2 linked regions of the Pelodiscus sinensis genome follow. The protein of the gene in region 2 interacts with the protein of the main gene of each other region in a biochemical or structural test. Links are inferred from orthologs where the notes say so. Each region holds a gene or a part of one and is shown on either strand. Other genes may lie near its edges.

Region 1 (10,812 bases), on a different chromosome or scaffold from region 2:
ATATGATGAGCCTCACCAATATGATCCCAGCAGAAAGCCAGCTGATCCAGCGACCTGTGAACCCTTCTTTGTTTGCTGGCCTCCTCTTTTTCTTCACAGCTGTGGCATTGCTATGTCTCATCTTTGTTGTTTATTTGTGTGTTGTATCGCGTATGCGAAAGAATATCAATCACATGGACCATGTACTTGCTACAGAATGAACAGAGGGCTCAGTGACAACAAAAGACATAAACTTGAAATGTTCTTTGGAGACCTGCATTTTAGAAAAATCAAGTGAGAAAGAAATAAATGTATCCTGAAAGAAAGGAAAAAGATCAGAAACCAAAGTGGAGAACAGAAATCAAGGAAATGGTATTATAATGCATTGGCTCTCTCATGAGAGGTCTCAGCACTCAGTGCTATAGACTTATGGCGTTTATAGTGAACTCTGTAAACTCTGTTTTGTTATTAAGTAGTTGTGGAAGAAGAATAAGTACTATGCACAATACGTTATTTTTGCATAATAGTCTCCTAGAGACATAATTGGTCAGTAGTTTCAAGATACAAGCAAAAGGACAAAACCATAGGACAGAGGAAAATAGTGGTAATACTCATCTGTCATATTGAAGCTAAATGAAAAACTCATTCCTGAAACTGGTAAGGACATTAGTTACATCCCATACATTGAGTACTCAGTGTTCTCACTAATTTATTCCATCCATGTGTGGAATAAATGCGCACCACTGGTAGAAACAAAAAGTCTAGTTGGGTGGCATTTGAATCTGTCCTGAGCGACTCCACAAGTGCCCAGCTTACAGGGAACTGCAAGGTGTGCTCAGGAAAAAAACTTTGTTCATTACCATGTAGACCGTGACAGAAGATTTAGGCCACCAAGTAAAAGTGGATCACTCAATTATTAAGCAGCTTTTCGCATTTATTTAAGAAACCCAAACCCATGATTGATATACTAAATGTCAAAATGTATAGCTATATTTATATGCAGAGACATTATCAGCAACTCTAGTAAAGGTTGCATCAAGATTTAGTCTGAAAGTAAGCCTGAAATCCACCTGTTTTGTACTTTAATATTAAATGGAGTCTCCACATGTACAATAACAGTGCTTCGGTGGGCAATTGAATTTAGTCTTTTTTAATAAACATTTACAAAAGAAACATATCAAAGGGTTCCCTTAACAAAATGTTGACCTGTTGTCCACACATTTCTTTGGGTTCTAGACAACCACACCTTTGTCCAGATTTCATATTCAAATAATATCTCAGCTATAGGACTCTTCTGAAATACTGACACACCAAGAAGTTTTCCCTTATCCTGTTGCCCCTGCATATGAGGTTAAACTCTATGGAAGAGAAGGGGCATGGGTAGAGATGTTGGGGACTAGCAGGTTGACCAAGTCTTGGGGAAATGGGGCAAGGGAGTTGCAGGGGTGCACAGGCCTGGAAGAGAAGAGGCTTGTGAATACAGGAACCAGGAATGTGTGACTGGTGGGGAAGGGGGGCAACTGGAATAGAGCTCACTGTCTGAGGGTATGTCTACACTACCCCGCTAGTTCGAACTAGCGGGGTAATGTAGGCATACCGCACTTGCAAATGAAGCCCGGGATTTGAATTTCCCGGGCTTCATTTGCATAAGCGGGGCGCCGCCATTTTTAAATCCCCGCTCGTTCGAACCCTGTGCCGCGCGGCTACATGTGGCACGAGCTAGGTAGTTCAGACTAGGCTTCCTAGTTCAAACTACCGTTACTCCTCATTCCACAAGGAGTAACGGTAGTTCGGACTAGGAAGCCTAGTTCGAACTACCCAGTTCGTGCCCCATGTAGCCGTGCAGCACGAGGTTCGAACGAGCGGGGATTTAAAAATGGTGGCGCCCCGCTTATGCAAATGAAGCCCGGGAAATTCAAATCTCGGGCTTCATTTGCAAGTGCAGTATGCCTACATTACCCCGTTAGTTCGAACTAGCGGGGTAGTGTAGACATACCCTGAGGCAGTAGTGCTAGTGTCTCAACACAGAGGCTATGTCTACATTGGCGCGATCTTGGGCCAGAGCTATGCAAATGAGGCTAAGCGTGGAATATCGCCGAGCCTCATTTGCATATGTAATGAGCCGCTATTTTGCAGAAGAGGCTCTTGCGCAAGAAGGAGCTGTCTACACTGCCCCTTCTTGCGCAAGAAAAACCCTCTTGCGCAATGCCTTTCTTCCTGAAAATAATCAGCGTAATTAACTCCCTTTCTGTTTCTGTTCCCTGTGCTCACCATATACTACCACCACGTGGAGTCATGGAGGAAGGGGGAAAGAGAGAGGCAAGGGTGGTGAGCAGCCAGAGCATGCAATTGAAATCATGTTTGTACTGAGTGGGAGCTGTAGAAGAGAAAGGTGCAACTCCTCCCATGCATACATGAATCACGGTAGTCCCGTGCCTTCCTGGGTCTTGCTCCCCAAAGGATACCACATCCTCCCTGCAGTTTGCTGCCCATATTCCCAGCTGTGATGAGTACTTCAGGGAGTGCTACAGGAGGCGCTCTGTGGGTAACTTTCTTATTCTTTGCTCATATTTTCAATTTTCTCCAATTCTAAGTTTGTATTTACACACTTCAAATTAAATCCTATTAATATCTGTCTGATCAGTTAAAAATGATCTTCCCATCTTTTCATTGAAAGAAAAGGGTCAGAATAGTTTCCTAATTTAAAAAAGACAAACTAAGAACACATTTTCTCTAGTTCCTTGACCAATGCCTATTTCTTGGTCATGGTAGCTAATGTTAGCAGAACACAAAGGCTACGTCTACACTGGCCCCTTTTCCGGAAGGGGCATGTAAATTTCATGAGTCGTCGTAGGGAAATCCGCGGGGGATTTAAATATCCCCCGCGGCATTTAAATAAAAATGTCCGCCGCTTTTTTCCGGCTTTTAAAAAAGCCGGAAAAGAGCGTCTAGACTGGCCCCGATCCTCCGGAAAAAGCGACCTTTTCCGGAGGCTCTTATTCCTACTTTGAAGTAGGAATAAGAGCCTCCGGAAAAGAGCGCTTTTTCCGGAGGATCGGGGCCAGTCTAGATGCTCTTTTCCGGCTTTTTTAAAAGCCGGAAAAAAGCGGCGGCCATGTTTATTTAAATGCCGCGGGGGATATTTAAATCCCCCGCAGATTTCCCTACGACGACTCATGAAATTTACATGCCCCTTCCGGAAAAGGGGCCAGTGTAGACGTAGCCAAACAGCAAGAGGTTTGAAATTATTCTTCCAAAGAGAAGGAAACGGGCAAGATGAAGAACTTATCTTGTGCAGTAGTCAGAATTGTTGGGGCTCAGTACCCCCAAAAGATTGATTCCTCAGTGCCCACTGCCCAGGTCTTCAGGATATATCTCTCCAGTGGTTAAAAACTCACCAAGCCCAGTGAGTTTCAAAGGCACAAATGGTTGTTAAGCACCTAACTCCTATTGACTTTCTGTGCAATTGAGGGGCTTGCCGTTAGTGTCTGAAAATCATCTCCCACATCACAACATTCAGCATTAGAGACCCACTTTGAATTCATGTATTCTAAAGGGATTCAGAGGAGTGGTTTGGATACAACTTTCATTTTTAAGAAGGATAGAGTGGTTATATTTTCAATCAGATCCCAAGCCCCTTAAGGTTCAGGCATGTTTACAGTTAGGCTACGTCTAGACTGGCATGATTTTCCGGAAATGCTTTTAACAGAAAAGTTTTCCGTTAAAAGCATTTTCGGAACAGAGCGTCTAGATTGGCACGGACGCTTTTCCGCAAAAGCACTTTTTGCGGAAAAGCATCCGTGCCAATGTAGACACGCTTTTCCGCAAAAAAGCCCTGATCGCCATTTTCACGATCAGGGCTTTTTTGCGGAAAACAAATCTGAGCTGTCTACACTGGCCCTTTTGCGCAAAAGGACTTTTGCCTGAACGGGAGCAGCATACTATTTCCGCAAGAACACTGACAATCTTACATGAGATCGTCAGTGCTTTTGCGGAAATTCAAGAGGCCAGTGTAGACAGCTGGCAAGTTTTTCCGGAAAAGCGGCTGATTTTCCGGAAAAACTGGCCAGTCTAGACACAGCCAGTGATTCTGGTAGGGCCCTAATTATGACCTATTCAGAGGAAGTTGTGAGAAACAGTCTGCCAGAAACTTTTGGCCATATTGGACCTCAGAGTCATTGGGGAATCCCCATGTACAGCTTTTCTCTAACTGGGGCTTCCAACCAAAAAAAGAAGTTTCAAGGCTACTGTTGGGGGGTTGTTAGTATGGTCACTAGCTGTCTAGGTTTTCCCAGACATAACCTCTTTTTTGGTCCTGAAATTTTCCTCAGAGCAGATTTTGGAAACATTAAAAAAGTCTGATTTTTCCTGGCCTTTCAAACTGTGTGGCTGGAAAGCAGTGGCCACTGTCTGGGCACCTAGTTTTCCTTCTGTGTTGCTGCTTGTGGCACCATTGCCATGCAGAGTGGCATGGTATAGTATTGCCACTCTTCTTTCTCTGCTGCTGGTGGCACTATCTTTGGATCTGTGCAGCAGCAGAGCAAGTGTCCGCTAGCAGGTCAGCAGTAAGTGTCACCACTTGCAAGAGCACAGAAGAAAAGCTGGAATATGGTACTGCCTCTCTTCCCTCTGCACTGCTGCTCATGGTAGGGATGTCTTCTGAGCTGGATGGCAGCAGAGCAATGGCCTCTGATGGAGTGCCCAGTTCAGATGGCATCACTGCTGCTACCCTGCAGCACAAAACCAATGGTAGTGTGCCATTCTTCTTTCTGAGCTGCTGTCACTGCCAGTGACAGTGCTTTCCAGGCTAGGCGACTGGGAACAGCAGCCACTGCAGCCACCCAACTCTGAAGGCAAGGTAGAGTCATGGACATTTTTTCATATTTCCAAAGTCCACCTGCCCAAAGAATAGAGGACTAAAGAGGCCATAGTTGGAAAACCTAAATGTATGGTGATCCTACTAGCGATCCTGTACTCACTTTGTCACCCCCTTTTAAGGTGGGTTCCCCAGTATGAAAAACAGTTCACTAGGGGATTCATCTACAATCCTGAGGTCCAACACAGCCAGTGGTTCTTGGCAGACCATTTCCCACAACATTCATGGAAGTGGTTGTAGATTCTTAGGGAAGTTTTTCGTAGTTCAAATATCTGTCTGGATGGAGACTGGAGGACCAAAAAGGAGGTCATTTCCAGGAAAATCCAGGTATGTTATGCCTGTCAAACATCAGCATTAAACAGAGATATACATTTTTTGTACAAACATATCCAGGGACAAAACAATTGTGTCCACATGCCACTTTTATCAGCCAGAATGTATACAACCTTCTACTAATTCTGTAGTCTCATGTCACATGATGCCTCCTCCTTAATTCCTTGGAATAGCAGAAATTAAATATAGCATCAATGCAAAATTCGTTCAGGGACCATGGCCAACCTCTAGCAGATCAACATCAGGAGCCACATTAAAAAAAATCATGAGACTGGCTTAAAATAATGAGAGTAAAGAGAAATAAACAATCCATTTCGGGTCATTATGTGTCTGCCTTCTGAACCTTGAGGACACACACCGGTGTTTTTAGCCTTTTTTTCTGCAAACTTGGGGACTTCAAACACTTTCTACGTGAAAGCTGAGGGTGTGTCTGCACTCCAGAGCCTATGTTGACATAGCTGTGCCCGCAGACTGCCCTAGCTTAGATGTTGCCAAGACCCACAGGAGTTTTTGTTGGCACCTCCACCTCCCAAACCAAATGAAACGTGCACACTGACTGGCTTAGAAAAGCGGGTGTGGTTTTGGGCAGACTCTCTTTTTCTTCTGGACCTGGCTGGGATTTGTTTTTCTCGTTTGCGCACCGGACAAGAGTTCACACAGACGCTGGTTTAGCGGAGGGCAATAAGCCCTGTTCGCCTCTGGCCCTGAGAAGGGGGAAGGCCCCCCAGAAGCAGACGGCATGAGGAAGGCGCACTGTCCCCGTGCAAGGAACGACGGGCGCAGGGCGGGCACGGTGCGCTACCCCAGCGCATCCCCTCTGCGAGCCCCGCGCGCCGGCTGCTCCCCTTGCGACATACACCTGCCACGCGAGCGCAACAGGGCGCACGCATGCGCACTACAGTAGGGGGCGGGAGCGAGACTCTCCCAACCGCAAAAGAAAGCAGTTGACTGCGCATGCGTCTCGGGAACCCACACGCCCCCTTCCATGCCCTGCAGGCTTGTCACGCATGCGTTAAACATCTCGCCCCTCCCACCACGAACGTTTGGCGCGCATGCGTATTGGAGGAGGAGCGGAAACGCTCGCCTTCGACACCCACCAGGAGGGCCTAGCGCGCACGCGCATTTAGTAAAGCAGCGCTCCCTCCCCGCCTCCTTTTTGTCTCCCCACAGCGGGGCGCATGCGTACTAGAGGATCGGAAGCGGCGTCTGAGCGCAGCGGAAGCCGCTCGCTCTTTTCTGCTCGCGGGCGGCCATCATGGTGAGTGTGTGCGGCTGCGGCCTCCGCTACCTGCCCCGGCATCCCCCCTGCCCGCCCGGCGCGGGGCCCGGGAAGGCGCTGAGCCGCCTCCTCCCAGCGACCGGAGCGGGGCCACGTGCGGCTCCCGTGGCCGGGCTGGCGGGGCCGCTGGGCGGGTGAGGGCGCCGGGCCGCGCACAAGCCCCAAGTGGCTGAAATGGCCCCTTAGCGGTAACGCTTTGGGCAGCGCGCGCCACCTGGGACCGGCACCGAGCGTGTGGCCAGCCCCCTCCCCCGCCCGGCCATAAGCTGCGCCCATATTGTTAACCCCCCCCCCCCGCTTCTCGCGTGGTACCTCCCAGTCCCCCCCTCCCCCCCCCCCGCTGCTCGCGTGGTACCTCCCAGCCCTCCCTCCCCCCCGCTTCTCGCGTGGTACCTGCCACCTAGGCACCCCCTCCCCCGCCCGGTCATAAGCTCTGCGCCTATATTGTTAAACTCCCCCCCCAACTTCTCACGTGGTACCTCCCAGACCCCCCCCCCAACTTCTCACGTGGTGTCTGCCACCTAGGTGCACCGCCTCCCGCGCCCGATGCCAACCATCCCCGCTGCTCATCCCTGCGGGGAACCTGTATATCACCCCCCTGCTAGGAAGGAAAGGCGGGGTGCAGTTTGCTCTGTGTCCCAGGCAATTGATGCATTTGTAGATACGAGTAGCCCTGTGGCACCTTAGAGACAAACACACACATATACAGTATATAGGGATGTCATCTTGTACTGTAGACCACTACACGATCAACTACATGCATTTCCCTCCTGCTCTCCCTCCCAACCTCTATATCAGTGCATTGGCTGCCAGCTCCACCTCTGGGGATTATCGAATAGTTGTTTAACTGCTAAGATTTCATGTGGTTACATGCCTATTCAGTTATATCTAATATTCCCAATAGCATCATGTGCTTTTGGGGGCAAAACCCACGTCAGATCAGAGAAATGGGTTTTGCCCACTAAAGCTCGTACTATTTATATATTTTTGTTGCTCTGTAAGGTGCCACAGGACTACTTGTTCTTAAAGTTACAGACTAACACAGTTACCTCTCTGAGACTTTTGTAGATAGCAATTCCTGGGTTTAGTCATACTACTTGTAGACGTGCTCTGAATTTAAGTAAATCTTTTTCCAGGTGTTCAAACGTTACGTTGAGATTGGCCGAGTTGCCTATATCTCCTTTGGGCCACATGCTGGCAAGCTGGTGGCAATAGTGGATGTTATTGACCAGAACAGGGTAAGCTCAAAGACCTGTAGCCCTCTTCTCCCCTGTTCTTTCGTTCTCTATTTTAAAGATACTTTTTCATACAATACTGATTTTAAAACAGTTTTCTGTACATCATTTCCCCCCCCCCCCTCCCGGGGCTAACAGTGTTAAGGAAAATGCAATACAAATGTGCATGGCAGACTTCAAAAATTAATCTTTGTACGGAGACTTAAGAGATTCCAAATAAGGTGATTTTTCAAACAGTTATGTTTTCCCTCTCAGGATCAATAATAAGGGTAAGAGGGAAGGTCCTTTTATGAATCAGTGAGACAGGAAACCAAGGGTAGGGAACAAATGGACAGTTTTCAGACTGGAGAGGGGTAAATAGCGGTGTCCCCTCCAAGATCCTGTAGTGGGACCAGTGGTGTTCAACCTATCCATAAATGATTGGGAGAAAGAGGTAAAGAGCGAGGTGCCAAAATTTGCAGATGATGTAAAATTATTAACGATATTTAAATTCAAAGCAGACTGCGGGGAGTTACAAAGAGGTCTCACAAAAAATATGGTGAGTGGGCAACAAAATAGCAGATGAAATTCATTGTTGATAAATACAAAGTAATGCACATTAGAAAACATGCTCCCAATTATACATTAGGGCAGTAAGCAAGTAGTCAACTTGGCTATTCATTTCCCCCCACCCCCCTTGTATCTGAGGCAGTGGGGGGGATGGCCAGGAGCTTATATGCAGGTTCCCCACCCCATCACTGTCTCCACTGTGGGCCCCCCCCCCCCCCGCCGCCTCCGGCTGCTGCTTATCTGAGGCAGCAACGGGTTGGAAGAGAGGCTGCTACAAAGCAGCCCCTATTTGCAGTGGGCCCAGGCTGCTCTGGCAGCAGCCCCTGGTTGCAGCCAAGCCCAGCTGCCCAGCTCTTACTAAATTTTAAATTGCAGATCTGCAGCGGTTCCAGCTCACGCCAGTCTGGAGCCTACACCTGCTGGTGCTCTGCAGTGTAAGTGTAGTAGGAGCTGAGTACCTATGTGCCAGCTCCTACTATATTTAAACTGCAGTTGCAGCTGAGAGACCTCCTGGACCAGTGCGATCCAGGACAGAGTGCCATCCCTTATCGACTAATTGTGTAGTTGATATAAATTGTATGGACTACATGATTAGTTACCCGTCTCTTAACATCCTTACTGTACATATAAAATAATGGGTTCTAATTAGCTGTAAATATCATAAAAGAGATATTGGAGTCATTGTCGATAGCTCTCTGAAAACATCTACTCAGTGTGAAGTCATAGTCAAGTGAATACTGTTAGAAACCATAAGGAAAAAGATAGATAAGACGACAGTAAATATGTCATTATATAAATCCATGATACATCCACACCTTGAATACATTATGCAGTTCTGGTTTTTGCGCATCAAAAATAGATACATTAGAATTGGAAAAGGAAAGAGGAGGTCAACAAAAATGATTAAGGTTATGGAACAATTTCCATCTGAGGAGGTTAAAACTGGGGATATTCAGCTTGGAAAAGAGTTGACTAAAAGGAGTTGTGATGGAAGCTGATAAAATCATGACTGCAATGGAGAATGGGAATAGGAAAATGTTATTTACCCCTTCACATCACATGAGAACCAGGGATCTCCTAATGCAGTGTTTCCTGATTTTATTTGGCCACGGAACCCTTTTCAGCTTAAAATAATTTCAAGGAACCCCTAGGGTTCCCAGAGTAAAATTTGGCAAAAAAAAAAAAAAAAAAAAAAAGCCCCGCCAGAATTGGTTGAGCAAAAAAACTCTGCAAAATACTCTGTCTCTTTAAGAGGGGGCGGAGGAATGCCGCATTCTCACGGAACCCTTACTTTTACTTTGCGGAACCCTGGGGTTCCACGGAGCACCAATTGGGAAACACTGTCCTAATGAAATTAATAGACAGCAGGTTTAAAACAAAACAAAGTACTTAGCACCTGCTTCAGTCAGCCTGTGGGACTCATTCCCACAGGTTAATACAGGTCAAAAGTATAGAGATTCTGCATGCAAGGCACTACATTTAGCCGTCAAAAGTATAATTAGGTTATAAAAAGAACTCTAGACAATTCCTTTTAACCAAGATATTCAGGGATGCAACTTCATGTTCTGGGTATCCCTAGCTTCTGACTGTCAGAAACTGGATTTATTATTTGATAAATTGCCCTGTTCTTGTGTCTCCTTCTGAAGCAACTGCCATTGTTAGCAGACAGGATACTGAGCTAGATGGACTATTGGTCTGGCCTAGTATGGGTATTCTTATGTTAATATCTTGCTAAAAGGAGTTGAATACTGTAACTTGTAGTTACAAGTTACAAGAATCCAATACTTGTAACTTGTAAACTGGGAAAGAGGAACACTATCTCCAAACTCACCACAATTTCTGCACTTTTAAAAGTTTAACTTTTTGCTTCTTCAGTCTTCTTGCTCACATGATTGAGCCTGTAGTTCGATATATGTGAACTGTTCCTATTACTACTTGCATTAGGGAGGGGAAAGATGCACAGATGTTTTCTGCTCCTTTAGTTACAGCTGTGATAGAACATGTGTGAATGAGGGAAAAGCAATGCATTGAGATCATGAAAGTTTCCCAGTCTCAGCTCCTCTCTTTTGTCTCCCTTGGCCTTTGGCGTTGTGGAAACTGCGTATTAAATAAACACTAGTTGATCCTGCCATGGAATTTGGGTAGTGTACTCCACTCTTTTTCTGCTTTCCAGTGTTCTATATGCATAGTGCTCTCCCAAGTTTGTAACACTTTCTTCATGTTGATGGGCCATAATTTGTTTAGAAGTAACTTTCTCTAGTCTATCATGGTATATTGGAAAAATGTTAGTGAATTCACTTAAACTTTTGTTCCAGGCACTAGTTGATGGTCCTTGCAGTGGTGTAAGAAGGCAGGCTATGCCCTTCAAATGCATGCAGCTGACTGATTTTGTACTTAAATTTCCACACAGGTAAGTTGTCTTTCCCTCTGGGCTGTGCAAAGGGTACTGACTGTTTAAATCTGACTTAATATAAACTAGCTTTACATTGTTTGTGATCTAATGGAATTTTGTGTCTAAAACTTTGAAAAGATCGTATGGATATGTTTTTTTTTAGAACCTT
Region 2 (10,585 bases):
ACTACCTGTGAGTTCAAGTTTCCTGATGATGGAAAACACTTCTGGAAGACGGTGATTTCACCTGATGGAATAACAGATTTTGAAGCTCTGATTGATATAAATTATATCCAATTCAAGGAGAATAATTTTCCTCCCTCCTTGAACAAATCAGTTTTCACATTTTCACTTGCCATGGCAAAACTTGGGGTAGGGGGGCACAGGATTTAAACACCTGTAAACAACAAAAGCTTTGTTTATCAAGTGCAAGTGCAGACATAGCTTAACACAGCCCTGTTATCTCCTGATGGATCCACATACTCATAGGTACTGCTCTACGATATTTACAACCAAGAAAAATGCATGATGGGCCATAAAATCTAGCCCCCACCACACATTAAATCTATTGTGTGCTTTTACCCTATGCTATACAGATTTCTGGAATTGTGGATCCTGATCCACAAGGGAGTTGCAAGGGTATCACAAAGTTTTTTAGGGGGTGATCACAGTATTGCCACCTGTTGGCTACGTCTACACTGCTTCTTTCTTGTGCAAAAGCCTATGCAAATGAAGCATGGATTAGCATATTGCCATGCTTCTTTTGCATAATTAATTAGGAGCTGTTTTTGTGCAAGAGGTTTTTGTGCAAAAAGGAGCCATTTACACAGGAAGAACAGCTCTTGCACAAGCAGTGTTTTTTGTGCAAAAAAGCTCTGTGTAGACAGCTCCTTTTTGCACAAAAATCTCTTGTGCAAAACCAGCTCCTAATTATGCAAATGAAGCATGACAATATGCTAATCCGTGCTTCATTTGCATAGGCTTTTGCACAAGAAGGAAGCAGTCTAGACGTAGCCTTTCTTTGCTCCCTTCAGAGCTGGGCAGCCCAAAAGTGGCAACTGTTGGCCCAAGTACCCAGCTCCGAAGGCATTGCCCCACCACCTGAAACACAGAAGTAAGGATGGCAATATCATCTTACTTCTGCACTGTTGCTGTCAGAACTAGGTGGCTGGAAAGTGGCATCTGCTGACTGATGTCCCAGCTCCTCAGGCATCAGTGAAGAAGAGGGGATGGCAATATCATACCATGCCATCCTTATTCCTGTCTTGAGAGCTAGGCTTCCAGCCAGCACCTGCCTCTCTGCAGCAACCCAGCTGTGAAGGCAGCACCGCGTTATCAGCACAAGAGTAGCAGTACAACAGTCCCGTTCCCCCCCCCCCCCCCCCGCCCCGCCATAACTTTGTGGTCCTCACTCACTACTCTTTTTTTGGGTCAGGATCACGACAATTATAACACCATGAAGTTTCAGATTTAAGTAGCCACCTGTTGGCTACGTCTACACTGCTTCCTTCTTGTGCAAAAATGATTTACATTTTTCAAAATCTCATGACCATGAAGTTGACCAGAATGGGCCATGAATTTGGCAGGATCTATATATACGCTTTTCATGACATTAATTTCATGACTAATTTTCATAAAATCACAATTCAGAAGTGATATGGACAGAACCCCCAAGTCTTCTCATATGGCAAGTAATTGCCCATTCATAATCTACACACTGCACTCTGTCTCTGATGCTCTTTAACTACATATATAGTGGGAATGATGCAAAAATGAGAAGTGCAACTGGGTTGGGCATGGAAGAGATGAGGAAGAAATAGTTGGTGAATTGCAGTTGTTGATGTACTACTATTGTGCCCTGCTCTCTGTTCCTCCTGTCAGGATGAACTGACTCCTCTGGGACCTATGAGGCTGCAGGGGGCAGTAGGTGCCCATATACTAGCTCAGAAACTACAGCTGTCCTAGAGGTGATTCTTTAGAAAAATCAAACTAATGAATTGACATGACATGTTATACAAGTATTGCGAAAACATAGAAAAGCACTTTATCAGAAGTAGATATAACACATTGTTTGGTGGTTTATTTTCATATTACATTTCTCAGTAAAAATCAGGTTTTTATACAGATTTCATATTATAGTCACCTTTATTCTCATGCACAAGTTTTTAATTGCTATTGTTTGAAGCCTTTAATCATTTATGATACTTAATATCTCCTTCTTTACTCCTATTTTAGATAATAGAGTAGGAAAATACTTCAACTGCATTCTCTTTTCTGTTATGCTGATTGCATAATCATTCCAATGGGGTTGTGTTTCCATTTCTTGTTAGTTAACATTGTATATGTGGGGCGAGTATGCCTTATCTTTATGTAAATCTACATAGCAAGGTATCTGTTATGGGTATATGGTCCTGCTGCTTGTGGTTATTTTTACTCTTGCTTCCACTACCTATCATGCTGGTACGTCTTGTTTTAATGTTTTTAGCATCACTCTCTTAGGCTACATCTACACTGTGTACCTTAGAGCAGCACAGCTGTGCAATTACAGCCATACCATTGCTTCAGAGGGGTAGCCAAGTTAGTCTGTAATAGGAGAAACTTAAAAAAATAGTATGGTAGCACTTTAAAGACTAACAAAACATATAGATGGTATCATGAGCATAGCCCACTTCTTCAGATGACCACCATACCATTGTAAGGTATGCAACACAGTCCTTTGCTGGCAGGACAGAGCTCTCCTGCTGGCAAAAGAAAACCACCTCAATGAGGGACAGTAGCTTTGGTGGTAGGAGATGCTCTCCTGCTGACAGAGTGCTGGCCATAGTGGAACTTTCTGTAATTAAGATTATTTTTTTTGTCAGTTGGCATGTGTATGTTTCACACCCCTGACTAGCAGAAGTTTTATTGACAAAAGCGCAGTGCAGCCTGAATATCTAGGATCCTAACATAGCCTTAGCTGCAGGCTGGGTGCGAGAAGTGGGTGTGACAGACAGCAACTGAAGCTCTGATTTTTTTTTTGCAGAAAGATTCTGGCTGACTTACAAATGTTTCCTGTGCATAGGTAACAGGTGGTGCCATAACCCATGCCACAGACTGATCACACTCACTCACCCTAACTAGAAGTGACAACTCTGTTTCACAAATTCAGAAACTGTTTTCCTTCTGTATTTCCATAAAAACAGAATTGTATTGGAGGAAGGAGGTAGCATCAGTCTCCCTCTAGCTTGGTGCTTAAAGTACTGGTCTGGACTGTATGGCTATGGCTATATCTAGACTACAAGCCTCTTTCGAAAGACAGCATCTGGAGTACAAGCAGATTTTTCGAAAAAGCGAGCCACTTTTTTGAATTAGAGTCTAGACGCTCTTTTGAAAAAGCAGTTTGCCGTCAATAGTGTCTTTTTTAGAAACAGTACTTTCAAAAAAAGGCATTATTCCTTGTAAAATGAGGTTTACCATGATCAAAAAAACTGCTGTGTTTTTTATTTAGTTTCAAAAGAATGCAGCTGCAGTCTAGAGGCAGGTAAAGGTTTTTTGAAAAAAGGCTACTTATTTCCAAAAAACTCTGTAGTCTAGACACACCCTATGAGACCCTCACCCCCAATTACCTGCTGTGCTTGATTTAGAGCAAGGACCTGAACCTCCCCCACATCCCAGCTATGTAACCTAATCCACCCACCTGTAGATTCTCTGCCCAGGACCCAAAAACTTTTCAAATAAAAATTTAATGCAAACAAACACATTGCTATTAAAATTTTAATCTTAGTCAAAACAGTGTATTTTGCCAAACCATTTCAACCAACATCACTTCAGTTATTCCTAATATTACATGGTTTAATACAAATTATCTGCCAACCGCATCTGATTCTTTCTTCTCTTACACCTGATGCAGCCCCAGGACCACTACATTCAGGGATTGCTTTATTCCATGCAGCCAGCCATCCTTCAAGTTTTCCTATATAAACACTTCTCTTCTCTGGAATAACTTTCCTACCTGGGAGGATGATGCCCTCATATATTTTCAGTCTCTACATGGTGTTCCCAGCAACCAAGTGCTGCAGCATCTGCATCTAAAGCAGAATTCCAGGGACACTGATGACATCATCAGTATTTTTACAGTTTTGAAGAGCCATTCTCTTCTCCATTCCAATTACCTCTTCACCTTGACCTTGTTCCTCATCTTCTCCATCACCCTCCCCCTTCCTCTTTACCTTATCTCCATTCATTAAAAAACCCTAACCACCTTCCTTACAAAATAAAACGAATGGGCATGCCATTCGGTGTTCCTGCAGTGTTCACTGGGGGTCGGCACCATATCCATTCTCCAGCGCTTAGTCCGATCTGTCAGGTTCATTCAGATTCTTGGGCCAGGCCCGGTTTGCTCTACGTGAACAGCATTTACTACAGTGGAGCTCGGCTTCTCAGCTGCTCCCTAACGCTAGGATCATACCGCCAGCCACAGAAGCTGCCTGCAGTGCTAGCTCCGCACTGGACACAGCACCTTGCCTCGTTCCCGGGGGCTAGGAAGAAATGCGGCGGGCAGGTACCCAGATCACGCTGCACCTACCCCACCGCGGGGGCCCACGCGTCCCGGATCTGCCCAAACCCCGCAGATCTACGCGCCCGAGAGAAGCCCATCAGCGGCCAGGCTCCCGCTCCCGATCGAACGCGAGTTGTGCTCCGCCAGGGGGGGTGAAGTGGGAAGCGCCGGCGCAGGCAGAAAAGGGCCCCAACCAGCCCCACGTGACTCCACAGGGAAGTAGCTCCGACGCGGTCGTAACGTGAATTTATCCTTCCGCCACCCTGTGGCCGGGTCGCCGTTGGCACGCCGGGACGGCTCTTCCACTTCCCTCATCACGACCGCCGCGTTTTCCCGGGGTGCAGGAGCGAGCCGAGGAGCGGGCGGTGCCGCGGATGGGAGGAGTGGTGGTAACAGCGGCAGCGGGACGCTGATGTGGCGGGACTATTTCGCCTTAGCGGCGGAGGAGGCGGGGGGCGGAGCCAGGCCCCTCTCCTCTCGGAAGCTGCAGCCATGATGGAAGTTTGAGGCGCTCAGTGTCGCTGGGGCGCGGAGGAGGCCGGGGCCGATGAGAGCGGGCAGCCTGCAGCCCCGCACGCACCGCAGCGCCTGAGCCCGCGCGGTCTCGCTCCTCGGTGTGAGGCGCCTCCGGACGCGCCGCCTTCTCCCGCGAGGCCGGGAGCGCCCGCCCGGCTGCGCGGCCCCATCGCGCGGGCTCCGCCGCCGCCCCGGGCGGGGAGCTGAGCTGAGCGGGACGGGGGGGCCCGAGTCGCTGTCACCATTTCTGGGGCCCGGCGCGCTGGAGAGTTCCCCTCTCCGCCTCCATCGCCTCAAAGACGGCGGCGGCGGCGGCGGCACACTCAGGGACCTGGGCCGACTCTAAACCCTTCCGCCGCCGCCGCCGCGGCTCCGGCGCCGCTCTGGGCAGCTGGGGAAGGAGGGAGCCGCCGCCGCCGCCGGGAGCCGCCGCCGCTGCAGGGGGAGGAGGGTTCGCCGCTTCCCCCATCTTCAGCCGCCGCTTGCGGGCCTGGGGCTGAGCCGCAGAGGCAGGCCCTGTCCACGGTGCCATCCAGCAGCAGCAGCCATTACCCGGCCGCCGTCCAGAGCCCAGCGGCCGCCGCTGCAGCGGGGAGTGGGAAACCAGTCACAGCCGAGCTTAGGGCCATCTGCAGCCCGCCGCTGCAGAAGCCGTCGCAGCTGCCGAGCCTGTCCTCGCTATTCCTGAGTAGCCCCCGGCTCCCAGACATGACCGCCATCATCAAAGAGATCGTCAGCAGGAACAAAAGGAGATATCAGGAGGATGGCTTCGACTTAGATCTAACCTGTATCCTCGCCCGGCCCGCGCTAGCGTTTGGCTCGCCGTTTCTCTGGGTGCCTTGATCATCTCCCCAGCGACCTGTAGTGTTAATGCTGAGCAGGGATGTGTGTCTGTTTCTCCCCCCCCCGCTCTTCTCCAGGGCTGCCATATTCCTGACTGAATTTGCTGTTCTCTCCAGTGCAGCCAGAGCCCAGTTGGGCAGGCTGAGCGCTCGGCCTAGGCCCAGCACCCGGGATAGAGATGAGATTAAAATGGAAATGAATGCTGCACGTACAGCAATTGCATCAGATTCTTACAGTAATTATGTAGTGTGCCTGCTCGTGTTTTTTGTGTATTTGTGTTCGGCATAATTATTTTGAGCACTATCAGATTTAAAAAGTCAGATGTGCGGCTAGGTTTCTGCAGTTACTGTAATTGGAAGTTGGTCAGTTTTTAGCAACCATATTGCTTTGTTTCATGAAACTAAAGCATTATGTTGTAGAAAAAGCAACATCCTAGGTCGGTTGTTGTCTGTCTTCCAGTTGATTGATGTAGATTGGGGTATGAACATTACCTGCTTGATAGTTGTTGTTTTAGATTCTATTATGTAGTTCAGAATAGAGGTTGAATAGTTATTTGGTCAGTAATTATGATGTCATGCAGATTGAGTATTATCTGTAGTAAATGGTGATTGCAAAGATTAACAGTAGTACTCGTTTGAAATCAAAGCATTCTAGTAGGACCTGTATTGACACTTTTGCTTTAGGTGTCATGTACTAGATACAGTGATGTCATTGCTCATGTTCAGCATAATGCCATTTAAAATAGAGCCTCTTACCTTGATGTTTGATTTTTAGCTCAAATATAAAATGTAATCATTCTACTGTACTGCAAATAGTGATGCCTTTTTCAATTAGTAATTCAGCATTTCGAATTGGAAACATAATTTTAGTGGGCATGTGACTTATCTGCTATTTTCTTGTTCTTTGCATAAATAGATACAAAATATGTGTTGTGCAGTGAATGAAGCATACTTTTCCAGTTTTTAACTAAAACATACGTTGTATATAAATGACAAGAATGTAAGAAAATAACTATTAATTTAAAAATTGCGTCTCTTTAAAGAACACCAGTTTCTTCACTCAACCATATTTTACACTGGTAGACTTTGTGTGCATTGACTTACCCATGGATTAGGACATTTCACAAACAAAAATAGTGGATGAGGTTCCTTTTTTTCTGCTGTCCGATATGTTTTGGGAACTCTTGAGAAATGTAGTGTTCGGGGACATGTAATCTAGCTGCATTAGGATTAGCAAGTCAAACCATGGAGCATTAAAAGGAACTGCATAGCCTTTGAACAGATGTACTATAGCAGCAACAGCAGACAGATGTCTGGCTTTGAATATGTGCTGCAAAGTTAATGGTATATAAGATTGTATTGTAACAGATTAAACTATCAGAATTAAGTTCTGTTACTTGTCACAGATACTATTAACTAAACGTAGAATTTGTTATTTATGAAGTAGTTTTAGTGCTTAAGTAATGAATATGGTATTCATTTTCAGAAGGAGGTTCTGATTTAGAATGGTTTTACAGTAGGGTTAAGATCAGCTTATTGCTCTTCTGACTGTGAGCAGAATTGCATCACAGGTACTGGATTTCTGTATGGAGAGAGAAAAGTGCCTGTAGTACAGAATATCTACTGTTACATTGATTTGGGACTCAAACTAAATATTTGAAGACTTAAATGTGTGATCCCATGAAGTGACCATTTAGCTTTTTTTTAATTACCTGCTGCTTAGTAAAATATTTCGGTTTTAGTAAATATTTTTTCTTTCATTGGGAACATATTGATCAATTAATGGGTTGCTATTTCAGAATTTCATTTTAGTTCTTTAAACTTTTTTGTTTTTCTGTGATGTGTATAGTAATACATACCTGCATTTTCAAGTTAGTATTATAAAACCTGCAAGATTGATATCTGCTCTGAAATATAGCTTACAGACTTTAGTTTATTTGCTACACTAAATGATGTACTTACTGATTTCTTCTATAATGCTGGTAAACACGGAAAACCAATAGCAAGAAACCTAATTTCATACTTCCCAGTTCTAGGGTTTGTTTGTAAAATACTTTGTCATAATGGCATACTGTAACAAAGCAGAATTTCATTTTAGCAGAATTTCATTTTAACTATTCATCTGCACATATATCTATCTATTTTTTACTTGCCAAGAAGAATCTTGTAATTTAGTTAGTGATTTTACTCATCAAGCTCAGAGTTTTGAAGAATACATTAGGTATAGTTACAAAATGTATTTTCTTTTCTGACTTAATAAATAGTTCTATGAACTCTTTCCTTTTTAGATTTACCTTGGAGGACATAACAAATTAAACTAGAAATTGGCTATTTAAGCTCATAGAAAGATTGGTTTTAGCAATAGTTCAGATTAAATGAAATAATATCAAAGTAATATGAAATATTTTCCCATAAGATTCTATATTTTCTGTAGACTATTTTGAACAATGGAAGAAGGCTCTATGTAGTAAATAAGCCCTAATTGAAAGTATTGGTGAGCATTTGGGTTTTATAACTTTTTGTGAATCCTGCACAGGGAGACCTTTGACAAAGTTGTTAATGGGTAGTTAGTTTTGTCTAATGCCTCAAAAGTTATACTGTTTTCTCCTTTACATGAATTAGGAATTAAGTTAAATCTGCAGACTAACCTTGGTTAATCTTCAGGATGTAAATGGTTAACTGGTAACCCTCACCCTTAATGGGTATGGCTTACTGATTCTGGTTAATAGGTAGGAGCTGGTGCAGCTCCCTACCCTGGGTGCCCCGCAGGGCCCACCTCAGGCCAAGGGTATTCTGGCTTGCCAGAGCAGCTGTTGTCTGTGGCAGGCCTGCCCTCCAGCTGCAGGTTACACACGGGCTCCCTGACAACAGGGCCAGCAGCCTCCTGCGGAGCTGGTTGTGGAACTGACAGCGAAACTTCCCTCTGTGGGGTCTGCTGTATAAAATTGATATATAAGCTTTAATATTGCAGAGCCCACAGCACATTTAACTGCTAGGATTTTTAGCGGTTACATGGTTACATATTTAAACGACTTTTTACATCCCTAGATGTGCTGAATTTGTGGTTAAAGACTGTTCGTAACTTTGAGAGAGACTAGATTTTAAATGTAGCACAGAATGAGGTGTATGATTATGCAATTTAAGTATCAGCATTGATACTTTCATTGATACTTTTCATTGACTTTCATTGTGTTTTTAATATAAAAAGGATGTCACGTTAGTTTTAAAAGAACTAAAGTTACATATTTTTCAAACAAACTTCTTTTTAACAAGGGTATTTAGATGGTCTTTTGGAGTTGGGGTGGAATTGTGTATGTATGGGTAATGGTCACATCTGAAGATTAATGCCACTGATGTTTTTACATTACATGATCAGAACATCATAAACTATCACTTAACAACTGTCATATGATAAAATCAGTTTTTCTGCATGAATAATTTAAAATGACTGCACCATTTTTTAAACATTACACAGATTGAACTGCTAAATGTCTTATGTCGCATGTAATTCACCATTTGTAACAGATTTTTGGTATATCCTTGGAATGGCTGTAGGAAGGAATGCCTTCAGAACTGTATCCGGTCATTTAAAAAAACGTCATATTTTCGTCTGCCTTTGGTTTCTTCTACAATATTTATTTCTACTTGTCTGAATAGTGTTAAAATACTTCATGAAAATAATGGGGCAGGTGGAAAGGGGCAAATGTAACTTTTTATGTATTACTGGTGTCCCTGTAAGAAACAGTAATGCCTTAACTGTATTTTTGAATAATTTTTCAGTGCTTGAATACCTAGTCTATTTTAAACTATGTATGTACTTTCAACCACTGCAAACAAAAAAAAAAAAAAAATGAAGTGGTAACAAGTACATTCAACCATCTCATGTAACTTGGATTTCAATGCATGGGTTTTAGATGTAGTCTGTAGAAAGTTACTTAAATCGTTTGTGGAGTTTTCAGTCAATTAAGAAGCCTAAAAAACACAAAATTGTTGGTTGATGCCTATCTTTATATACCAGTTCATAGCTTTAGACAGGCATGCCAGAGTTCTACCCTGCATTGAGATCTGCTGGCAAGGACAACTGTAATGATTCTGAAGGAAGACGAGGGCCAGGTCTACTCTAGATCTGGAAGGTTGGCTTAAGAAAGGTATGCAACTACAGCTATGTAAAATAAATCAACTCCAGTTACATATCTTAAGCTGAGGTTGGCACTGTCTTCATATAGGGAGACTGACTGGATGCTCCTGTCAGCTTTCCTTACTCCTCGTGACTGCGAGGAGTACCGGCACCAACTGGGCACCAAAGTTATTTTGGTTTAGCGGCTCTTAACTAGACCTGCTATATCGAATACGAGGAGATTGATAGCCAGCGTGGAAAGTGAAGATATGGCCTAGGACTTCATGGATAGTAGATATGTGGATAGTGATTTTTATCAGTATTGTCAATAAACTCCTATAAAAGTTGGCTTGCTTTTACATTTAAATATTATTGTGCATAATTGTTTAAATCAAAATTCTGAAGAGAAGTTTCACAATGTGTAAAAAACTAATTTTTCCCTGTTTGTACCATCAGAGCATTGTGCATTAGAATGAAATCTGATCATATAACTTTACCATAAAGGGTTGCTTTTCAGTTTTAGAAAAACAGATTTGAAATAATGATACATCTTAATTATTGAATATTTAAAAATCTAATATTCCACTGAAAATAGAATCAATATTTGAGGTTGCATTTAGTCAGTCTTTCTGAGGCACAATACAGGCTGTCCCCGGGTTATGTGGATCCGACTTATGTCGGATCCCTACTTAAGAACGGGGTGAGGGAACCCCAAACTAGCTGCGCGCGCCCCCCCCCCAGCATACCACCGAGACGCGC

What was found.
Region 1: the proteins of PTEN (region 2) and RPL14 form a complex in vitro, tested with the Homo sapiens proteins (2 studies listed by BioGRID). The link is inferred for Pelodiscus sinensis from reciprocal best matches to the Homo sapiens genes PTEN and RPL14.

Annotation. Positions count from the first base shown.
Region 1 is NC_134712.1:182,142,542-182,153,353, forward strand, and holds the start of RPL14 (large ribosomal subunit protein eL14), read left to right. Parts: upstream 1-6,316; 5' UTR 6,317-6,443; coding exon 6,444-6,446; intron 6,447-7,603; coding exon 7,604-7,705; intron 7,706-10,566; coding exon 10,567-10,661; intron 10,662-10,812. Other genes in the region: ENTPD3 (ectonucleoside triphosphate diphosphohydrolase 3), read left to right, coding at 1-200.
Region 2 is NC_134718.1:38,724,401-38,734,985, forward strand, and holds the start of PTEN (phosphatidylinositol 3,4,5-trisphosphate 3-phosphatase and dual-specificity protein phosphatase PTEN), read left to right. Parts: upstream 1-5,432; 5' UTR 5,433-5,575; coding exon 5,576-5,654; intron 5,655-10,585. UniProt on the Homo sapiens protein: Dual-specificity protein phosphatase, dephosphorylating tyrosine-, serine- and threonine-phosphorylated proteins.